2 linked regions of the Schizosaccharomyces pombe genome follow. The protein of the gene in region 2 purifies or fractionates together with the protein of the main gene of each other region. This does not show direct contact. Each region holds a gene or a part of one and is shown on either strand. Other genes may lie near its edges.

The links. Proteins that work in one complex are often made in the same cells at the same time.
Region 1: the proteins of rng10 (region 2) and mto2 purify together in Schizosaccharomyces pombe (affinity purification with mass spectrometry, with the first as the bait; one study listed by BioGRID). This does not show direct contact.

The regions. Positions count from the first base shown.
Region 1 is NC_003423.3:488,502-498,931, forward strand, and holds mto2 (gamma tubulin complex linker Mto2), read left to right. Parts: upstream 1-6,177; 5' UTR 6,178-6,240; coding exon 6,241-7,434; 3' UTR 7,435-7,510; exon of another isoform or gene 7,511-7,627; 3' UTR 7,628-7,922; downstream 7,923-10,430. Other genes in the region: protein phosphatase regulator Nem2, read left to right, coding at 1-271; MTREC (exosome adaptor) complex RNA-binding subunit Rmn1, read left to right, coding at 1,381-1,410, 1,449-1,486, 1,577-3,119, 3,174-3,332; idh2 (isocitrate dehydrogenase (NAD+) subunit 2), read right to left, coding at 3,661-3,767, 3,818-4,582, 4,737-4,785, 4,833-4,979, 5,083-5,154; dual-specificity MAP kinase phosphatase Pmp1, read left to right, coding at 8,312-9,148; rps1202 (40S ribosomal protein eS12), read right to left, coding at 9,986-10,042, 10,100-10,430.
Region 2 is NC_003424.3:3,117,417-3,128,466, reverse strand, and holds rng10 (protein Rng10), read left to right. Parts: upstream 1-5,858; 5' UTR 5,859-5,971; coding exon 5,972-9,088; 3' UTR 9,089-9,248; downstream 9,249-11,050. Other genes in the region: rim2 (mitochondrial pyrimidine nucleotide transporter), read right to left, coding at 1-605, 654-778; structure-specific endonuclease subunit Slx4, read left to right, coding at 9,467-9,520, 9,605-10,810.

The DNA of each region.
Region 1 (10,430 bases), on a different chromosome or scaffold from region 2:
AATAGTATATCCATCACGTTATGTTCAACAAGTCAACAAAGCGATGAGGTTTTTTAACATTCGCCTTGTTATAACTCCTGTCCCGTGGTTCCAGGTGAGAAAGCCTTTGGATTGTGGTGTCCATCTTATATTATCAAGCAAACGATTTGACATATTGGTGATCGAAGGTTGGGAAGCTTTTCGTTCTTCATATTTTGCTTCAATACATAGAAAAAACAATAGCATACAGAGTAACGAGTCCTCTGAATCTCCTTCTTCTAAACAGAACTAGATTTACTTATACCCTTATCCTATTTATAAAGGATGCGATCGTTTATTTCCTTTTCAACGTTGTTAATGCTTTTCATGTTTATACTGTTCTAGTATTTGTCATTTTTCATAACGTAAATTTTGATTAAAATTTTCAGCTATTTTTTTTTTTGCTATCCGTTGTTGCTGGCGCCTTTCGCTATATTATTGATCAGTTATTGTCGTTATACTTTTATTACATACTTACCCGATTTGAATTTATTAGGATACTTTTAAGGACATTTCCTTTTATGTTGGGATATGAGATTGCTTTACAGACCCACTGAAATAGGATTTATCGTTGGATAATTAAAAAAAGGATGTTGATGATTCATTACACATCTTGATCATTTACTTGCCTCATCTTAATTGGAAGGGTTTAAATAAAGGCTTAATTGAAAGTTGCTGTCACTTAACTTCCTTATCTTGTTCTGTCAACTTAAACTATTATCTTTCATTCCCGACTTATAATCTTTCTTTTCTTTCTACATCACCTTTTTTTTTAAAAAATGGGTAAAAAGCGTTTTCGCATGTACATAAGCAAAACTTCTTCTCTTCTTATGTAGAGACTTCCTTTTTTTTTAATTTTCAACTTACTCATGCGGACTATACCGGACGTTCATTAGCTCTCTTGACGAGTTAGGTTTTCAAATAATTTAATATAAATGTAATCACTCCACCGTTAAAATTAACTATTTATAAGTGGTGCTAAAATATAAAAAAGTGCATATAGCTAACACGTTTACTCACTGTTGTGCTGACAATTTAATCAATGAAATAATTGGAGACAAGTGAACTCTTTCGAAACTCTCATAATCGTCAGAGTTTGACTTAAAATACATTGTATATTAGTAGTCTAAATACGAGTAATATTATGCAAACCTTCCTATTCCTTATCTAATGTCGACTACTCAGTTAAATTTTATCCCAGCCAATTGCCCTAGCTAAGACATTTGTTATTATTTTGGTATTATGTTTATTCTTTTTGAACTTTCTGGCTAATTGTTAAAGATTTTACCTTATGTGATCTATATTTTCTTACTGGCTCAACCATGCGTAACGCTCCAACAACCAGCACTTTGCTCCATCACAATGCCGTTGTTCTTAGAAGAACATGCTGAGGTAATTTTATTTTTAAGATGCCGAATTAACGCTTTTAGTATTTGAAAAGATATTTAGAACAGGCGTTGGAGCCAATGTATGTAATTTTTTTTGAGTTGCCAATTTGCGTGATTTTTTTTTTTACACGCTAAAAAATTGTTTATCAATATGCTAACGAAATGACTAGTTCTGATGCTGATGCAAGTGTTTTATCAGATTATGCTATGGCATTGTTAAGGCACGATTCTTCTGAAGAAGAAGTTCGCCAGTTATGCTACTCACAACTAGAAGATTTTTTGCGACAGGAGACAATTCCTTTTGTTGATAAAATTTTTGATGTTTTACGTGAAAAATCTTACTTGGAGGGTGCTTCAAATATGCCGTCAACCGGTATGGTGACTGAAGAAGTTTCAAGGTATTCGCCAACTTCATCAATGATCCCTGCCACCAACAGCATGGAAACCAATTTTAATAATTCTTTACCTGCTGTAGGAAAAACAAACACTTTTCCCTCTCAGGTGCCTAATATGTTTGGACCTCCGTTGTACCATCCAGCAGCCACAGCACCTTCTGAATTCATGCCCAGTATTCCTGGGTTTGGAAACTTACCAAATCCTGCAATGCCTCCCATACCATTCTTACCATTTAATCCTGCGGCGCAGCCTCCTTTCCCTCCCCCATTTAAGATGCGAGGTAAAAGAGGATTTGGCATGCGCCATGAGCATAATAGTGAACTTCGTAGGCATTCTCCTGGTAATCGAAGATTTAATCCATACAAAGCGTATCCCCAACCCCATCTGGGACATCGCTTCTCTCGTAACGCTGGCAATGATCCAACAAGTACTGCTTTAGAAGTGCGAAACATTCCGGAAGAGCATTTTAATGAGGAGAACATTAGGTCCTTTTTTTCAAAGTTCGGTGTATTGGAGAAAGTCGAATTAAATCCGACACATCATTCTTGTGTGTTAGAATTCACTTCCCATGAGGCTGCCAACAATGCTTGGTCCTCGCCTGAGCCCATATTTAACAATCGCTTTATTAAAATATTTTGGTATAATCCGTCAAAGGGATTTCACAATCGACCAAAGAAGTTTGCATCCCATAAATCTCCCACTACTTCCGATTCGTCGAATGTAGAGAGTTCTGAAGATGTCGATCCTGCTTCTTTGTTACAAAACGAAGAGTTTCATAAACTGATTGAAGAAAGGCAAAGGCAGCACGAAGAACGTTTAAAACGCATAAATGCTAATAAAAAGGCACTAGAAGAACTTAACCAAAAAAAGCGCGAGCTTGCACAGCAACAATTAAAAGAACAAGAGTTACTGATGCAAAAAATTAAGGAAACTGACCGTTCAGGAAACAAAAGACTCATGTTGTTAGAAACTCAGCATTCTCTTTTGAAGGCTGAGGCTGATTGCTTAGGGTTACCTGTGAGCAACGTTTCTGAAAGCCCAGCGGCATCTAATGGTTCTCATCATCCTTACGCTTCAGGACTTCCCCAGCGAGGTACCAACACATTTTTCCGTGGCAGAGGTCGCGGACGAGGTGATATGTTTGCGTCAATGTCCATCGATAATCGTCCAACTAAGCTTCGTGTAATAAATGTTTCTCCTGAAAAAAATGAAGCTTTGTTGCAATACTTATTCACTGTTGGAGGATATGAGGAAATTACTGAACCTTCAACTACTGAACGTCTTATCAGTTTTCAGAATAGAAATTCCGCTGAAAAGGTATGTAGCTGATTCTTTCTCTGACAGAAAAAATTTCAAGTTAACAAATTTTAGTTTTTTGGTGGAGTTCGGAACGTTGAAAAACTTCAAGAATTGGAGTTGGCGTGGGTGCCAAAAACAGCTGTTACAACTAATACTACATCCATGGAGACTGGCGAATCTAATACAAGCGACAACATGAACATAGAGGTAGAAGAAGGAAGATGGCGCTAGTTTATTTACTTTTACAAAAGTTTTTCAGAGAATGAATTAATGGGCTGCATTGTATGCGGCTGTCATAAAATATAAGCAACTAATTGATTAATCTTATAGAGTGCAATAAGCATTTCAAAAATGGAGATTTCATATTGAAATATTTGTAACTAACATTTCGATCAATTCGGTTTTTTGATACAAAAGAGTTAATGCTTCCGAATTACAACTCAAATCGTTACACAATTCATTAAAAGTGGTAACAAAAATCGGCTAGGAGAGAAAACTCATGATAAGGAAAGAAACATAAATTCAGTGTTCATAGCAAGAAGTAAACAAAATGGGCATGTTACTTCAGTTTAGAAATAATGGCATCGGTATATTGAACATTGTTTGACTTGCCGCCCAAATCCTTGGTGCGAGCATCGGGATTGTTTGCAAGGGTATCAAAGATAGCTAATGGTAATTAGTAAACAGACAAAATCTTAATTTAGTAAAACACATACCTGATTCGATGCGTTTGGCATAATCATTTAAATTCATGTGCTTCAACATCATTACAGAAGATAACAGTAAAGCAGTAGGGTTGGCTAAACCTTTTCCAGCAATATCAGGGGCAGTACCATGAACAGCTTCAAAGATGGAAGCTTGGTTGCCAATGTTTCCGGAAGGAGTCAAACCAAGACCGCCAATTAAACCAGCGCACATATCAGAAACAATATCACCGTATAAATTGGGCATAACCATAACTGTGTTGTTATAAGGGACAGGATCGGTGACAATCTTCAAGCAGGCGTTATCCAAGATTTCCTCCCTAAGCTCGATATCAGGATATTCAGGTGCAAGCTCCTTGGCGCATTCCAAAAATAAACCGTCAGCCATGCGCATAATGGTAGCCTTGTGGACTACGGTGATGTTGTTCTTGCCAGTTTGGCGAGCATATTGGAATGCATAACGAATAACACGCTCAGATGCTGCGCGAGTAATTAATTTAATCGATTGAACAACGCCTGGTATAACTTCATGCTCGATGCCTGAGTATTCACCCTCAGTGTTCTCACGAATCAAAACGGTATTAACGTTATCATAAGGTGTTTTGTATCCCGTAATAGATACACAGGGACGAACATTGGCAAACAAGCCGAAAGTACGACGCAAAGTAAGGTTCATAGAAACATGACCCTTCCCAATTGGGGTTGCCAATGGACCTTTCAAAGCCACTTTATTTTTCCTAACAGATTCCTTAGCATCATCAGGAATAGTAGTAGTACCTAAACGAATTAGTAAACGTGATTTTCGTGCGCGATAATCTCGAGGAGACATGGAAGGACTTGACAAGCAGGAACAAGCATTGCTGACAAAAACGTATAAAAGAAAGGCCAAACTGCATACAAATCCAACCATCTTCTCTTATACTTGACATACCATTTTTCAAAATAGGATATACTTTTACACGTTCCCATTCGATAGGGACCTACAATACAAGTCGTTAATGACTAAATGACGGATGACTCGACAAACCTTTGCAGCCTTAAATATACGTTCTACAGACTGAGCAATTTCTGGACCAATGCCATCGCCAGCAATCATCGTTACTGTGTAGTTCCCGTTGGCATTCTTTACTCCTTCATATGTCCCAGCGGCAGCCTTCGTTGAAGAAAATCTCTGCTAAAAATAACTCTGTTAATATAATCGATCAAATAATCATGAAAAGACGAGTAAGGCTGCTTAAACCAGCGATTTATCGCTTAGGAGCCAATTCACAACTTACAAAAGAGTAACAGGCGCTTCTTGAAAACGTCCGTAAAGAACCTGCAGTACGTAAAGTAGAAAGCATTGACATTGTTTTTTTATAACTAATGTAGCATGTATGGAGAGTGCAAGATGTCGGACCGTGATATAAACAAAGGATTCCGAGAGTCGTCGCATCATCCTTAATTTGACTTTACCGAATTTTGTGGAGATAGAACGTGGAGTTAAGCAAGGGTAATTGAGTGGAGTTTAACCATTTAGAAAGCCCCTCGAAGCGGAATGAGGAATTGTTATTACATAGCGCTCTTTTTTACTGCATTGTCTATTATTGCGTTATATAGTTTTTAACGATAATTTCAGTAGTACATAATTATTAATGTTGTTTAAAAAACACATCTATTTGGTTCTTGAGGTATATTCAGTAACTAAAGATGTAATTGTCTAAATTGAGAGGATAATTCGACGAATTGGTTTTGCTTGAATTAAAAAAATTGTAATTTTGTAGCTTCACACTGGTGTTATTGATATCTTGACTTTTGTATTGTTCTCAACTGGAAAATTAGTGTTGTCATATACTAGGTGTGCTTTTTTAATTTTTCGGATTATGCTTTATTTTCTCAATTACTCTTCCAAATATATTCATTCATTCAACAAAAAGATGTTTTGCTATTTGTCTTAAATAGTGTAGCATTTTAGAATACGTAGTTCCTATTTCAAACTATCTCAACCATACACTCACTAAAAACAATAACGATTATTGTGTGTTAAAGGCATTTAAAGATTTTTTAGGAATAGTTAAAAAAGCATAGTGACATGTAACGAAGCGTACTGTTTGCCCGCACAGTCGAAGTTGCCGCTTAGAATTAAGCTTCGGTTAATAAAAACTAGCAAGTTATCCTAACGAACTGTGGGAAAAGCTTATTCAGGAAAACTTCGTGGATCCCGTTAAAATACGTTATGATAACTAATAGCGAACTGTCTTGTTGCTGTGTTTTGCAATATTACTTTTAAATAGTATAAGACAGTATGTTAAGTTAGGTTTTCAGAGTGCATACTCTATTCGTTAATTCGTGCTTTCAACTCTTTATCTTTCAAGAGTGCAAGAATCTCTTGCAAATTCGAGCTTGGTCTTGCAACTGTTTATTCTAATCCTCCAGCGTCTTGCTGGTGGTTTCGCATGTCTGAACATAATTACCAGTCTGATAGGGAAGTGGCAGAGGATCCTTTTCTTAATTATGAAGCCTCTGCTAATCAATTATCCTCAAATTCGCGCGAATCTACTCCAAGAGGTTCACCATGGCGCGCTGGTATGAGATCCGCATCTTTAATGACAGAACCTTTAGAAGATTCCATGTATAGCGATAATAATTATTTAGACAATGGGGTCTCTTTTACAAAAGATGAAAATCCTCTTTACTCGCCGTCTTGGCCGAGTTTGGCGGATGCAAACGTGAATTCAATGAAGTCTAATAATGCTATACAGGAGCATAAAGCAGCGAAATTTGTTTCTGAAAAGTCTTTGGAAAAAGTATCGACTGCAGATAATAACCTTGTGCTTCAGGAGCTTGAAAATCTCCGAGAACGCTTAAATCAAGTAGAGCTTCAACTCAGTGAGCGACCCTCTTCCTACTTAGGCTATCATAACAATCTTAGTCCATATCGTTCTCCTAACAGTTACCCTTCTCTTTTACCCTCTACTCATTCACCTCACTCACCGGCGCCGCTAAGCACGATGCAAACGGCTCTTATGCGGCTTCGCACTTATCATCCTTCGCCCATCATTTTAAAGCCCGTAGAGCAAGCTGTAAACCATGCAATCACCTTGGTAAACACCTCTCCATCGAGTGTGGTGGATGCGTTATGCCGAAGCCTTGCCGAATTGTGTCTTGGCTTGGTGCAAGAAGCGATCGATGCATCTATTTTGAGTCAACAGGAAAGCTCAAACTCTTTAGATCTTGTCCGTCATACACCACCATTGAATTATACCAGTTCTGTTGATTCTTCACCACAACGTATGGCCTCTGATAGTTATGGTAGGCCTTCTCTGCATTTAAATGACCCCTTTCCATCAGTTGATCTTCAATCAAATGAACTTTCTCATCATAATGTTAGAACAACTCTCTTTTCTGATGATTCCCGATTTCATTCAAAAATTCATACACATTCTACTCCTCCTTCTCAAATGTATAGTGCTGCATCTCATTTCCGGTACCGTAGCGATCCATCAACCCGTCATGTCTCGAATTCTACAAACAAATCGAGCTTGCATCCATCACCAACGTCTTTGCGAGTTGCTCATCCTATTATCCCCCAGAGGGCGTCTCCAGCATCACAGTCTTTTCCTTCTCTTCAAGACACTCCTTCCCCCTAGTTCGGCCTATTACAAGTTTAATTTTGAATCAATTTTTCTTTGTGTTTATCAAGTAAATCAGGTTCTTCTCATACATGTAAGTTCATACAAACATTGATTGAGGAGTGCTATCATTTAATTTGTCGTCCCTCTCGTACAAGTTTTTATTTTTTTTATATCGCTCATTTCTTTAAGAAGTTGCTAATCCTACTAGGACGTCTATTTTAATGTTATTGGATCTGGCTGCATCTCTATTTGCTGCATTGCTTGCTCAAACTTTATAGTATGAGAACGTCTTAAAATTTGAGGTTTTGTTCATCTTCTCATCAATGCTATTTTTTTAAAATTGATAATTCAGTGCAGATCTTTTCATTATTTAACCATATACGATAATTTAGATTTGGGAAGTGGATGTCTTCTTCGCAAGACGAAATGGTACATTGTGTTTAATTAGCTTTATTTCGCACCTGATTTATAAAATGAATCAGATAATTTAACTCGTTACTGTATTTACTTTTAGTATCTTTCTATATTCAAGTTTACCAACTTGTTAAAATGCGTTACCTCTGTCACCTGTAGAAAAGCATCAAATGCTGTAGCTTGGTAGGAGCTCACAATACTTCCATACATCTTTTCAGTCTATCATCAATTATTAGAACACTGAAAATTTGTATTCTCCAGTTATCTTCTTGCAAGTTAAATATTATAGAGGAAGCTAAGTTGAAATGGTTATTGGTGCCATGAATGTTTGAAGGTAACTCACAAAATGAATTCTGAATCAGCGAAAGAAAATGCAGAAGAGCAAATTGAAACGAAAGGACGTGCATTGAAGTCCTCAACAAATATAGAACGAAAAGAGTCTTCCTTACAACCGCTTCGATCAAAACTTCCTTTGAGAATGTCTCAAAAACTACCTCCCTTAAAAATTTACACCTCCCAACTTCCCCTGGTTTCCCACAAAAATATGTTGGAAAACGAAGAGGAAGCTAGTCATTCACAATTGTTTACTCCGTGTCCTGTCCCTCCATCTTTCCCGAAAGCATCTAAACCCAATTCTAATCAGCCGTACCCCAATGGCCCTGTTTGTATCTATCCCCCAAATATTTACTTATATGCCAAACCTACTATGCCCATTATTCAATCTTTTGATGTTGTTATAAACGTGGCGAAGGAAGTTTTGCATCCATTTCGCACTGATGGCCGTCATTATAGAGATTCTAAACATAACCTGGACATTCAAGTATTTGATCACATCGAATATGTTCACATTCATTGGGATCATGATACACAGTTTGCTTTGGAACTTGATAAGCTTGTTTCTTTTGTAGCTTACAATGCCATGCAACTTAACAAAAAGGTTTTAATTAATTGTCAAATGGGCATTTCTCGCTCTGCTTGTTTGATGATCGCGTTTATAATGAAGACATTAAACCTAAATGTTTCTGATGCTTATGAGTACGTTAAAGAACGATCTCCATGGATAGGTCCCAACATGTCTTTGATTTTTCAGCTTTCAGAATATCAACAAATTATTCGTAAAAATTCTAGTCAAGGTCCCTATCAATCGTCATCCTTGAAACAATCCAAAAGGAAATCTGAAGGTAATTTGCTTTTCCCTGAAAAGCCTCATAGTGCACAACTGCCTCTTGTTAGCCCGTCCACGTCTGAGTCAAGTATGTTCACAAATCTTCGAAGAACTCGAAGTAGCGGCAGTATAAGTAATGATGCTTCTTGACAATGCCAATTATTTATAAATACATAAAAAAAGGGAAATTTTGTCTATTCAAGTTCCGTTGTAAGTTGGTTTTTATACTCTTCCTTATGGGTCTTAATTCTAAGCTTATCAGCTGCTTTTAAAAAATATCCACTTTATTATGAAGACTTACGGGTCGCTCGTCAGTTATTCATATCATTCGTCATGGACTTTTTTACAGTTTGCATTGCTCGCTTCCAATGTATAGTTATAATTCTTGTTTAATACTTAGCTTGCAGATGTTTTATCGTTCTATGTTGCGAATTTGTATTTACCTCAGTTTTTTACTTCTAGTCTTTGGTTCTGGGTCGGTTTGTTTACCAATGAAAAAAACTAGAGTTTTCATGTCATTTGTCATTGTTATTGAGTGAAATTTGTGCGTCGTGTTATTTTCTAATTCATTATTCTATTTTTATGCTATTTCCTTGTTATTATTACTAAACTTAATATGAGGTTGTGAATATTTATTCAACATCATCAGTATCTATTCTTATTCCCAGTTAAAATGATGTCCCTTCTTATCAGCAACACGGTGTCTTTAGTTGATATAAAGCATTCCTTCAATCGTTAGAAATTTGTAAATTTCCGAGTTTACGATTCGTACTAACTTGAGCATTCATGAATTTACAATTAAAGTTGGAAATGGTTAAATTATAAGTACATTACATTATTGCTCATAGAATGGACGTGTGAAAAAAAATGTTAACCCAAGCTTTAAAATCATTGCTAATAGCAAATAAAGCTAGTATTGAAACTACTGCAAAGCTAAGATTTAAGAAATACAATAAATTTTTATTGTGTATGAACAAAAGACTGAATCTAAGCAGCAAAGCTAGAAAGCAAAGTTTGTAAAGCAACAGAGTCCTCACCATAGTCCTAAAAAATAAGTTAGCATGCATAGAAGAAACAATTTTCGAAAAAATGATCACATACAGTTACAGCAACACAAGAGCAGCCAACAACCTTACGGGCATTTCCATCACGGTCAAGAACGCACAAACCAGCCCATTCACCTAAGATCTTAGGATCAGCTACTTTAACCAAAGGGGTTTGGGATTCAGCACAAAGGGCTTCAACAAGCTTAACATAAGCTTCTTGATCACAGCTCTCGCATAGAACACAAAGGTGGGCTTGGCGACGGTCAAGGGCTTTGGAAGCTTCACGGATACCGCGAGCAAGTCCATCATGGACAAGTGCACGCTTTAGAACCTCTTTCAAAGAATCCTCAACGGACAATGGGGAAGAACCAGTTTCCTCTTCTACA
Region 2 (11,050 bases):
CTTTTCGACGAAGTTGTCGAATAGCGACAGCGTGCTTGAATTTTTCGTATAGAACCCACTGGAGAGTACTTTCACCGACTCCTAGTAAACTGGCAGATAAACCTTTATATAATCCTCGGAATCCTTCAAGCCTTATTGTTTTTATGATGCAATCAATCGAAGAACGATACTGAGCAGCTTGTCCACTTTTTTTATCTAATTGTAATCGTGTTTTTACTAACCATATTGGATTAGTCGCAGCAGAAGTAATTACACCTGCAATTGCAGCAGCCATTAGATGTATTTGAGAGTTCTCTTGACCATTATTAAAGAGATCAGCCAATATACGCTTGCCATTGCCATATGAAAAAAAGTTAATTGACCGTGCAGGAATTGTTCCTATTAAATTAGGACCTAAGCCACGAAATAGTGCTCTTGTTCCTTCATGAACTTTTACATTTTTTAATATTATACATGTATCCATAAAATGCCTATATGCAGCCGTCAATGGACTTTTCGATTTCGCCGTTTGCTTCAAAAATCTGTCTTTGTAAAAGTCAGACTGCAACCTCGTCTTCACTACGTCCAAAGGTGCTGTTGCAATCGCTCCTAACATTCCTGCAACTCTAAAGAATATTAGAAAGACATTTCCCGTAAATTTACAAATCACTTACCCACCCGCTATAAAATGCGACAAAGGCGGTGGAGCACGTTCGTTACTGGCATTATTTGCTTTTGTTAATAAAACTTTTGTTTTTTGTGAGTTTTCAGAGGGTTTAATCTCTGAATTTGACAGCATGTCCAAACTCCTAATTTTTGGCTCTTGGCAATGTAATGTCATTCAAACATTAAACAAATTGCTACTCTTATGAACTTGAATGTCTAGTACTTTACTAGAATCTACTTAGTACATTCTTAATAGTAACTAGTAGTATTTTAACTACTCAAATTTAAGAGGCTTATTTACTAATGTCAAGGGACCTTCACATAAACTTCCCGAACGCTATTTGAAAACTCGAGTTAAACACGGAGCAAAAATATAACTAAATCTACAATATTAAATAATGTATCTGATCTTAAATAAGAGGGTTTTAAACTTCGGTTCCGTTAGAGAATTTTAACATAATCCGATTGTGCATATCTAAATGAAAACTGATAACTATTAGCTATTTTTTATATATTTAATTAGCATATGAAATTTATAAGTTTAATTTCATTTAAGACAGTTAGTTTATCAGAGATACAACTTAGTTAAGCAATTGCAACTATTTTTTGTACTGCACTTGTCGCGAATAGTAAGCCATAGCAAATGCTTTCGTCAGTAACAGCCTAAAACAAATTCGTATTTATTTGAAGAGTATACAAAAAATATTAAACAAAATTAGCATAGTGAAATTAAGCAGCAAATGTTATAGTTACTGTCTAAAATATTCTCATAGGAACCTGTTATCTAAACTTTTAAAAAAATAAATAAATCACGATTACAAAAAAAAAAAAATTAAGTTATTAAATCATAAACTAAAACAGATATTGTTTTAAACAAAAAGTTAGAGCTGCAAAAGCTAACTTTTAAATAAAGAGTACTCGATATGAAGTTCAGCATATGTACTTCTAATCGCTTTTTTGATTGTGTTGGAATACCTGAAAATTTAAGAAAATTTAAAATGTCAAGTATTACATATTCACATTGTTCAAGAATTACTTTTTTCTTCGTAATCAAAATCCATTCCTTCTGTAATAGATTATTTTTTGACGAAGTATTTTCTTGCAAGTAATCATCATGTTGGCATTTCCAATAAAAGAAAGAAAACAGATGTCTACCAAAATCAGATATTTACCAAAAGGTTGGCTCATACAACACTATTCTAGGTGAATACTGTTGCAGAGCTTCAGGAAAATCGATGGTATAAGGACGTGACTCGATATTCTCCCACGCCTTCAAGGTGTTACAAACTTCATCATTTGTTTCTACATTTGGCTTAACCAAATGGATGCTAAATAATAAAAGATCTAACAGTTCTTGATTACGATATATACACTTGCGTATTGTCAGACTTTCTAAAGTAGCCAATTGATCAGTCAATTCGACAAACCCATGCATATGCAAAATTAAATGACAGAGGAAAGTTAGTCTGTATCAATGTTAGTGACTATTAGAATATAGAAAATGTACATACCTGGATTGACGAGTAGAATCTAAAACTTCAATATGATTGCTGAGATGACTGAAAGATTGTAAAGATTGGGTTAAAGGACAAGGCAGTTTCTCTAAAAACCACGAATCTGGTACTTGTTCCATAACATAAGCTGATGCACCAATAAGATCCTGGAGAAAGGCTGCTGGTAAATCAAGCCTTTCTTCCAAACTGAACAATAAGAGGTGCTCAAAAACTGTTTTGCAATTAGGAAGCCCTGACAAGACAAGCTTCCAAATTCCCGATTTGTAATTGTCCAAACTTTCTAAAACTTTTTTTTGAACAACGTCGTCAGTTAATTCAGATAACTCGTCATCATCCAAAGTTGTAAGCCAGGTCGCATACAGAGGAGCCGAAAATTCATCCAAAGTTACCAATGCCTTTTTCAAACATGTAACGATATCTAATTGTCGTAAATCTATCATGAAATGTTCCGTCAAGGTTCTTAAAAATCTTTGATCTGGAATGACCTCGCTAATGACATTGCAATCATGTACATGTATAAAGGACCATATAGTTTTCATTATTTGTTCATTTCGGGTACAGAGTTTTATACCCAATTTGAAAAGCTTTAACCCAGAATCATGTTTCCGAGCTTCTTTACATAAAATTGATCTCCAATGTCGTTCTTCAAGATAACCCTCAGGCCAAGTGCTTTCGTCTAGAAGGTAATTAAAAAATTGCTTCAATGTTGTATTATTATCTTGTGCTTCGTATACATCACTGACAACAGCCCATATTTGATCCACCGACAATAACTTGCATCCATAAAATTGTAGTATTTTAAAAAAAGAGAGGATAGTACATTCGTCTCGTTTCAACAAGCTTGAAAAAGTTGTAGTTGCCAAGTCATCAAAATACGGGGGATGATTTAAAGCTATCTTTAACACCATAAGCAGGTCTGATGTGAAAATAACTGCCGTGTGTTTTGATGAGACAGTTATATTGTGAAACAAAAATTCAATGAAATCTTTCCTATTCGCAACGGTAGCATCCTTGTACTCTACGAATGCATCGTCATAGTTTGATTCATACGATGTTATTTCATAAAACTGCTCAATCAGCAAATTTACATCGGGTGAGTCATAACTAAAATTCAATTCAACTTGGAACAATTTTCCCATTTCATTCAGTAGGAGTTTTTGAGATTCTGTCTTTGGCACAACAGAACATATGAAGAAAAGAGTTTGGCATCTAGTACGAAATAAGATGAAATTTTATAAAGAAAAATTAACGCACAAGACTGAAAACTGAAGTGAACCAAGTTGTCGGCAATAAGCTTAGTCATTACTTGAAACATTGAATAGTGAAATGCAAAAAGCATAACCAGGTAATCCTCATATAACTTTGACATAGGTGTCGATGCTATTTTAACAAGACTCAGGGTAATGATAGCATAATTCTCTTCTTTTTTAAACATGAAAGAGAAATGGTCTTCTTTAAATCGTTTAACGTATTCATCGCAAATTGACCAATCCACAAAGTAATTTCCTTTGGAAAGGATATAATATATTTTGTTCTTCAATTGTTGAGACATGCGAAGAATAGGCAACTGAACAAGAATCTTGCGCTGATCGTCCATGAAAGAAGAATTAAGCATCGATTCCCTCAGGTAACCTAATGAAGCAAGTCTAGCAATATACTTTGAAAAGAAGAAGTATCCACATGCTGCGAGATGATCAAGTAATTGAGCTGCCGCAACACATTCATTGTACTCCAGAGGATGCAATTTTAAAACAAACGACAATGTCAGATCCACAATTAAATTTCTGTCAAAATTGGCGTTGTCAAAAATTGAGGATACGATGAAATTTCGATCACCTGAAAAAATAGAACGGCAATTGATACACCAATGTAGTAAAAGAGGCACACCTGTATAAACTGGTAAAAGTTTAAACAAATCTTTAGCCAGTGTTCTCCAACCCACTGGAAAGGAAAGACATGAAATAATTTGCAAGAAGCGAATACTACTTGTGACAGGTTTGTACATGTACATGGCTTTTGAGTTTCTTTCCTGCATTATAGATAAAAGCGTGCTATAATTTGGAAAATCCTTCCATAATAATATAATAGTAGGTTTCAATTTGTCCCATTCAGTAGGAAAAAAGAACGACTCAATATTTTTTTGAGCCAAGGTAAATAAAAAATGAGATACTTTTTTTGAAAGCAAGCTAAACTTCAAAAGATTAGCAGGCTGGTCCACAATTAACTGTTGATAACTTTGCAGAATTGTGATAACACATTTACGACAAATATGGGTGTACTGGATCAGGCTTGTAGAAAAAAACTGTAAAGCAAAAAAGTGAAGACTAAAGGATTTTAAAGAAGAATCCCCTGAAAAGGAAACAATTCTTAATAGAAAATGTTTAGGCGAAACCAACTCTTCAGCCAGCAATCGACCAAAAAGCTTCAATAGGTAAGTGTAATCATCAGCGAACGAGTAAATATCAGCGTTTAGAAAAGACGAAATGAACGAAATTAAGAATCCCGCTGCAACATCAGTCCAATTTTTAACCCATTCTGTTATATCAGTTGTCTGGACTTTTCGTAAAAATGAACGAGCCTCATTTACTCCAGCGCATCGAATGAACCATATCGCTCGAGTAAAAGGGACTCGAAACTTCACCAACATTCGTAATATATCTTCTCCCCATAGACCATGTGGTATAGTTTTAATAAGAGAAGACAAGGGCACCATGGGATCAGATAAACCCTGCAACCAGCGGTCACGTCTAGACTCAGAAAGTGTAACTCTTGGTGGAGGACGAAACGGAGCGAATGGCTCATCAATTACTGCATCATTTTGCCGACCGAGCAAAGTAGAAGAATATCGTTTTAAATTTTCTAGAGTGCTTGATTTTTCAAGATGTTGTTGTAACAAACCCTGAGCAGATGCTCTATCACTTCGCACAGGTGGTGAATACCTGTGGCCTTTGGAAATAGCATCTCCTGCCAAAAAAGGAGCTCCGTCGACTGTCTCATCACGAAAATTTTTATCTGGAGCAGAAACTTTGCTTTGAAGTAATGTTAAGTACTCATCGTGTGAACTGGTCGAAGAATCAATATAGCAAATAGCTAAGGGCACCGCGTCATTAAAGCCTGGAGGGTTTGCTGAATCTCGATTGCTCATAAAGGATCAGAAAACACCTTTTTTGGAGCAACATATAAATATTAGTCAGATATTAAAAAAAAAAATGATTAGAGCTGGTAACAGAATGTTGTGGAAGTCCTTAAGCCAAGTTGGATTAGCAAATTAGATCCTTCTTCAAGAAACGTTTTCCAATTAAAGTTATTAAGAATCTAAGAGTAATGAAAAATTAAACAAGTTGGTTTTGAAACACAATGATTAGGTAAATTGTATTAATTGGCCTGTTGAAGTTAGCAATCATAAATTTCCACTTTTGTAAATACTAATATGTTAAATTTGAAGATTGATGTATTTGTTCATCATTCCTATTAGCTGATTAGATATTAAAAGTACTTTGATTTCTTCAACAAACGCTTCTAGGATTACGCGTAAGCCACATCAAAAACAATGAATATCTGCTACATTCTGAAAAGGTGTTTGCTTACAATTTTTGTGCTTAAAACAATAAATAACCTACAAGCTTGTGCTTGTTAACGTATGGGGCTGGCGAAGTCAATGTTATGCAGTGACTATGTGGTAGTCAGCAATCTACTACTATCCCTTCACCTCCAACTTTACGCATGAACAATAGTACATCAATAACGGTTTTATAAGTAAACAAAAAGCGAATTTTAGTCCATGACTATATATTTGAAAACTTAATAGGTCAATGGAAGAAAATACGGCTCAAAAGCAAAGTAATGCCACAGGCTTGCAACGACACGTATCAGGAAGATGGATTTCCAATGTTCCAAGTTATGAAGGTAATGAATGGAGTAGTGAAGAATCTGAGAGTGAGGATAAGGAAAGTAATCTCACCAGTAGTGAGAATATCGGAAAGAATCCCGAAAGGGAATTAAATTCTGACGGAACCGATCGCATTATAGAAGAAGAGGAGGAAGAGGATGATATTGAAAACGAGGCAAGTAGCTTTAGCGAGCAAAGTGAGAACGAGAATTATGACTTTTCATACCCTGGCACTTTTGTTTACCGAAAAGCAGCATCTAGTAGCCATGAGACGCTTGCTACTAAGGTTGTCTCCGCTGATGAAAGTGCACGGTTATGGGCCGAAAAGAGGAGATTTCTTTTACAGAAATTAGGAAAAGATCCAAATTCTAAGCCGATTGATTACAAATCTTCCATGGCATCTTCTAGCACCCGTTCATCTCAATCATCACAAGTTTCAGCCATTCAACCTCAAAGTCAAGATGATAATAGGGTCTCGGATATTCGACAAATGGAAAATCGAAGAGAGTTAAATGTAAAGAGGAGATCTGTTTCAAGTCCAGCAGAGGATCTTGCTATCCGTCCTTTAAGTTTCTCTAGGTATAAAAAGGCTGAAGAAATACCCGAGTCTTTACCTCCTATCAAGGGTAGAGATAGTTTTTCAAGTGTCAGAGAGCTCAATGAATCAAACGTATTTGCTCGTGCTCCAAATAAGAACCGATTCTCATTTGCTTCAGTTGCAGAGACTGGTAGTGGCTCCAATTTTTCCAGGGCTACCTCTTCCAGAAGTTCAAAAACTCGTAGCGTCGTATATGAACCTAATCATAGGCATACCAGCTTCTTTGGGGACACGCTTAGTAACCTATCTTCCTCGTTGAACGATAAGAAATCTCCTAATGACGATCATGCAGTACTAGATAGCGAATTAATGGAGCAAACTTTGCCGGACTCTGCCGAGGCGGTAGAAATTGCTAATAATGTGAAAGAAGATATTGTTTCTACCGCTAACGATGATGCCAATGAATTGGATAATACGAGTGAAAAAGCTACTTTGGAAACTAGTTCAAAGCCTGTTACGGAACAAGCAATTGAGCAATCTGAGGTTGTTCAAGAAGTCGAGGAGGGAGATACGAACATGACTACTAATACAATTTTGAAACCAACTGACGAAATTATTAATAAGGGTTATGCGTATTCTATAACAAGCTCACACTCGAATCATTCAAATGAGAAGTTTGAACAAATACCTAGTCCTGATGAAAAGCTTTCTCGAACAGATATTGACACTCATGTCAAGCAATTACAAACTACTAAGTCAACTGATAGCTTGTCTATTCCATTTGTTGAGTCTCCGCAGCAAAACCCAGAGGAAGAACTTTCGGACTCACTATCTAACGATTTTGGAATCGATGCTGAAAAGGAGAAGGATGAAAACCTCTCAAAACCGGAGCATCATCCATCTATAACTTCTGTAAATTCACCATTTCTTTATTCTCCTAGTAAGCAGCCCTCAGGTGAGTTGGATGAAGAAAATCTTAAACTACGATTACAAGATTCAGATGTGGATGATGAGGTAGCCACAATTCGTTCACTTAAACAAAATAATGCTACCAATTCGGAGGTTGAGACAGTTACGAACGATCCTTCTTTCTCCCAACAACCGGGTACTCATAGTCGTATTTTGCGAAATTTTGATGCTATCAGCTCTATCGATTCAATACCTGATAGCTTTTCTGACAGCGCTGTCGATTTGCCTGTCGATTCGTCAAAATATACCCTTGTTGGAAAAACTCAAAGTAATTCCAATCTACTTCAGGACAATGCTGAGAAACATATTTCAAAATCGAACCTTGAAAAAGTTGATGTGAAAGGAGATACATCACCCAATTCTGTCGAGCAAGGGATTGAACCTCAAGCTGCTTCTGTTGTTGGATCTCCACGCTCTTCTTTGGTTTCTAACAACTCCCTAGAGGAAGGAGCACTATTGAAAAACTCAGAAAGCTTGGAAAGTATCTATGGTTATCTTTCGGAGGAGCCCGATCCAGCTCTTACCAAGTTGAATACCGAAGACCCTTTTTGGACTAAGGGGTCATCTGACGATGAACATACAATAGCCTCTGTAGAACAAGACGTATATCCATATAAAACTAGTCTTCCAACTATTGTTGAAGCGACTACTTCTCACACTGAGTCAAGTAACTCAAAGGCTCCCGCAATTGAAGAAACGACAACTACAAAGGTCGAAGTGGTAGCTGCTCACGATGCAGTTTCAATATCCAGTAATTCCAGTACACATAAGTCTCACTCTGAACCATTAAATAGAGATGAGTTAGAAGTTGCTGCCTTAAGCCGTGGATCCTTGCCAGAACCTCCAAAACCCAACAAGCAAATAGTCGTTCAGGAAGAGGATCAACGAGACACACTATCTCTAAAGACAAGCACGACAGGTTTATCTTCTCATTCTAAAAGTGCTGAAAATAATTCAACTCAGCAGTCGACCACTTCTCCTAGCATTAACTCCGGTGCTTCAGCGGATGCTGTTTCTTCTGGAATTTCCAAAAAGGCTGATAATAGTGAAACTAATTTAAATTACTTTGCTACCTTAGATGCGTTTGTCAAGAGTCCATTGATGTCGTTCGATGGATTGGGTGAATTAGGTTCTACCGATCAACGTTACAACTTTTTCAATCAAAAGATTCAAGAATATTCAGCATACGATTCGGGCCTTGATAATTGGATTCAGTTTTGCTTAGAAAAAGATGGTGAGGCTCCAAAGGAAGCTCCTCCTCCTCCTCGTTCTGAGCCAGTTTCAACTACAACCAAACTTGCCAAAAGAATTACGCAGCCTTCGTTGAGTCCTGCAAGGTCAACTGTTACTATAACTCACAACATTGCTACTGAAGCAAAAAAGAAGTCTAAATCTGCTGCTAATGATATTTTACATTTGTTTAAGAAGAAAGCAAAAAGTGAACAATCAAACGCCAAGTCGTCATCTAGCTCTATCAAAGAATCCAAAAAGATGAAAACTCTTTTCGGAAAAAAATTGGGATTCAAATCATAAATCTTTTGCATACACTTTTTACCTAACTTTTTTCTCTCTTTTGTAATTTTCTAATTTATGTATTGTTTACGAAGCATTGCATTTCAATCAATAAGATTTTATCTAAATATTGTTTCATTTTCGTATTGCGCATTTTTGTGAAACCATTTAGTTATTTTTATCAGACGATGAGTTAAAATATCAAGCATATTCTGGTTTTGCTGCCACTTGTCTAAACCAAAATAAGAAACTGGACGAAAAACTTTCGACAAATTCAGGCTAGTACACAAAACAAAACAATCGAAATTAAATATTCATCATTTTTTGGGATATTCTTTCGTTTTCTTGGTGTTTTAGGATTCTGAGTACGCTGCTTTCAAGCTAAGTTTCATTAAATGGATGTCGGCTGAAGAATACATTGAGGTATCATCTTCTCCTGATATATTCACGGACGTATGAAAAAAATATGATATTCTATAGCAAATGATTAGAAATATTACATTGAACTGAAGTAAATGTATATTAACTGAGCTTTAGGATGATGACATGATAACAATAGAGCCAGAGCTAAACAAAAACCCTAAAGATTGTAATAGTAAACGAAAAAGATCTGTTACTGAATGTTGTGAAATTAGGCTGATAACTTCTAAATGTGATTTTGAGTCTACTCAACAGCTTGTGCATCACAATTGTACGGGACATAAGGTTCATGAGCACAACTTAAACGCTGTGGATGAAGAAGATTTTGATACTGAAAATCTCCCTCTTCTTTTTTCTTCCTTTAGCGACAATGAATCAGATATCTTAGAACCCGATCTTAACACTCGGGTAGCTGAAGATAATGATGTCCTTTTATCTAGATACAGCAAAATTAAAAATAGTGCTTCATGCAGAAATACTTTCGAGCACTCTGCATATCACTCAAATAGGGAAGAAATATCTTCTAGTGGTTTTTATTACCATAGGAAGCCTCAATTGTTCGAAAAATCTTTAGAGAAGTTAGGAAATAAATCAATTGAAGCCAACAGGAGTCCTCTTATAAAAGAACTTTGTGAATCGGCTAATTCTACTGAAAACGTTTGTTTTTCTGTTTCCACCGTTGATGAAATTCAGCAAAGGCATCCAAGCGCCGGTCATTCAATAGACTCAACTTGTCAGTCAAACTCGTTTCTTGAAGGCGATAGTGCTACACATAAGAAAAAAAAAACGGACAATATTAAAGAGTTTACTTCATGTGAATTTAATGACCGTAGCAGAACCCTGTTAAACTATGCCGGTTACATGGACACTAACAAAAACGCTGATAATGAAGCTAAATCATTAAAAGAAAAGTTGGAGAATTTTCCGGTTGAAAAATTACGTGCTATAGCGGAAAGTTATGGCTTCAAATCATCAGATTCGAAAGCAACTCTCATTAAGATAGTAGAATCTTGTTTGGATGCAATCGATAGCCGATCTCAGTCTAAAAAATTAGGCAAAGAAACTCCCCATGATTATTTGATAACTTCTACTAAAACAGTATTGGAGTTTGATGATATAGTGACACAGACTCATAGAGCAATTTCGCAAGTTGTTAAGCAAGCCAAAGACAATAGTGTGTGGATTAAAATTCTTACGTATTCTGCTATTGATGTGGAAGAATTTCAACTTTGGCTGAAGCGGAAAAATTTAAATGTTTCGCTAGATCTTATAAAGTCTTGGTGCGATAAGTATGGAGTACTCATGAAAGGGAGTTGGCATTAGCTAGCTAATCAGTGATTTTTGAGTGAAAATTGATGGTTTTTAAAGCAAAACAATATCATTTTTACAAAAAGATTTTGGATTTTTGAGCATCAAAATTAACAGCAAACAACCCAGCTTTAGATTTAAGTCAATTCAAGTCCTGTTTTAGATAAGAATCGTCCTTTGCAGCAGTGCTGAGGAAAAATCAAGATATCTTTTATGTGTTATAACGAGTAACATATATTATTGGAATCAAAAACT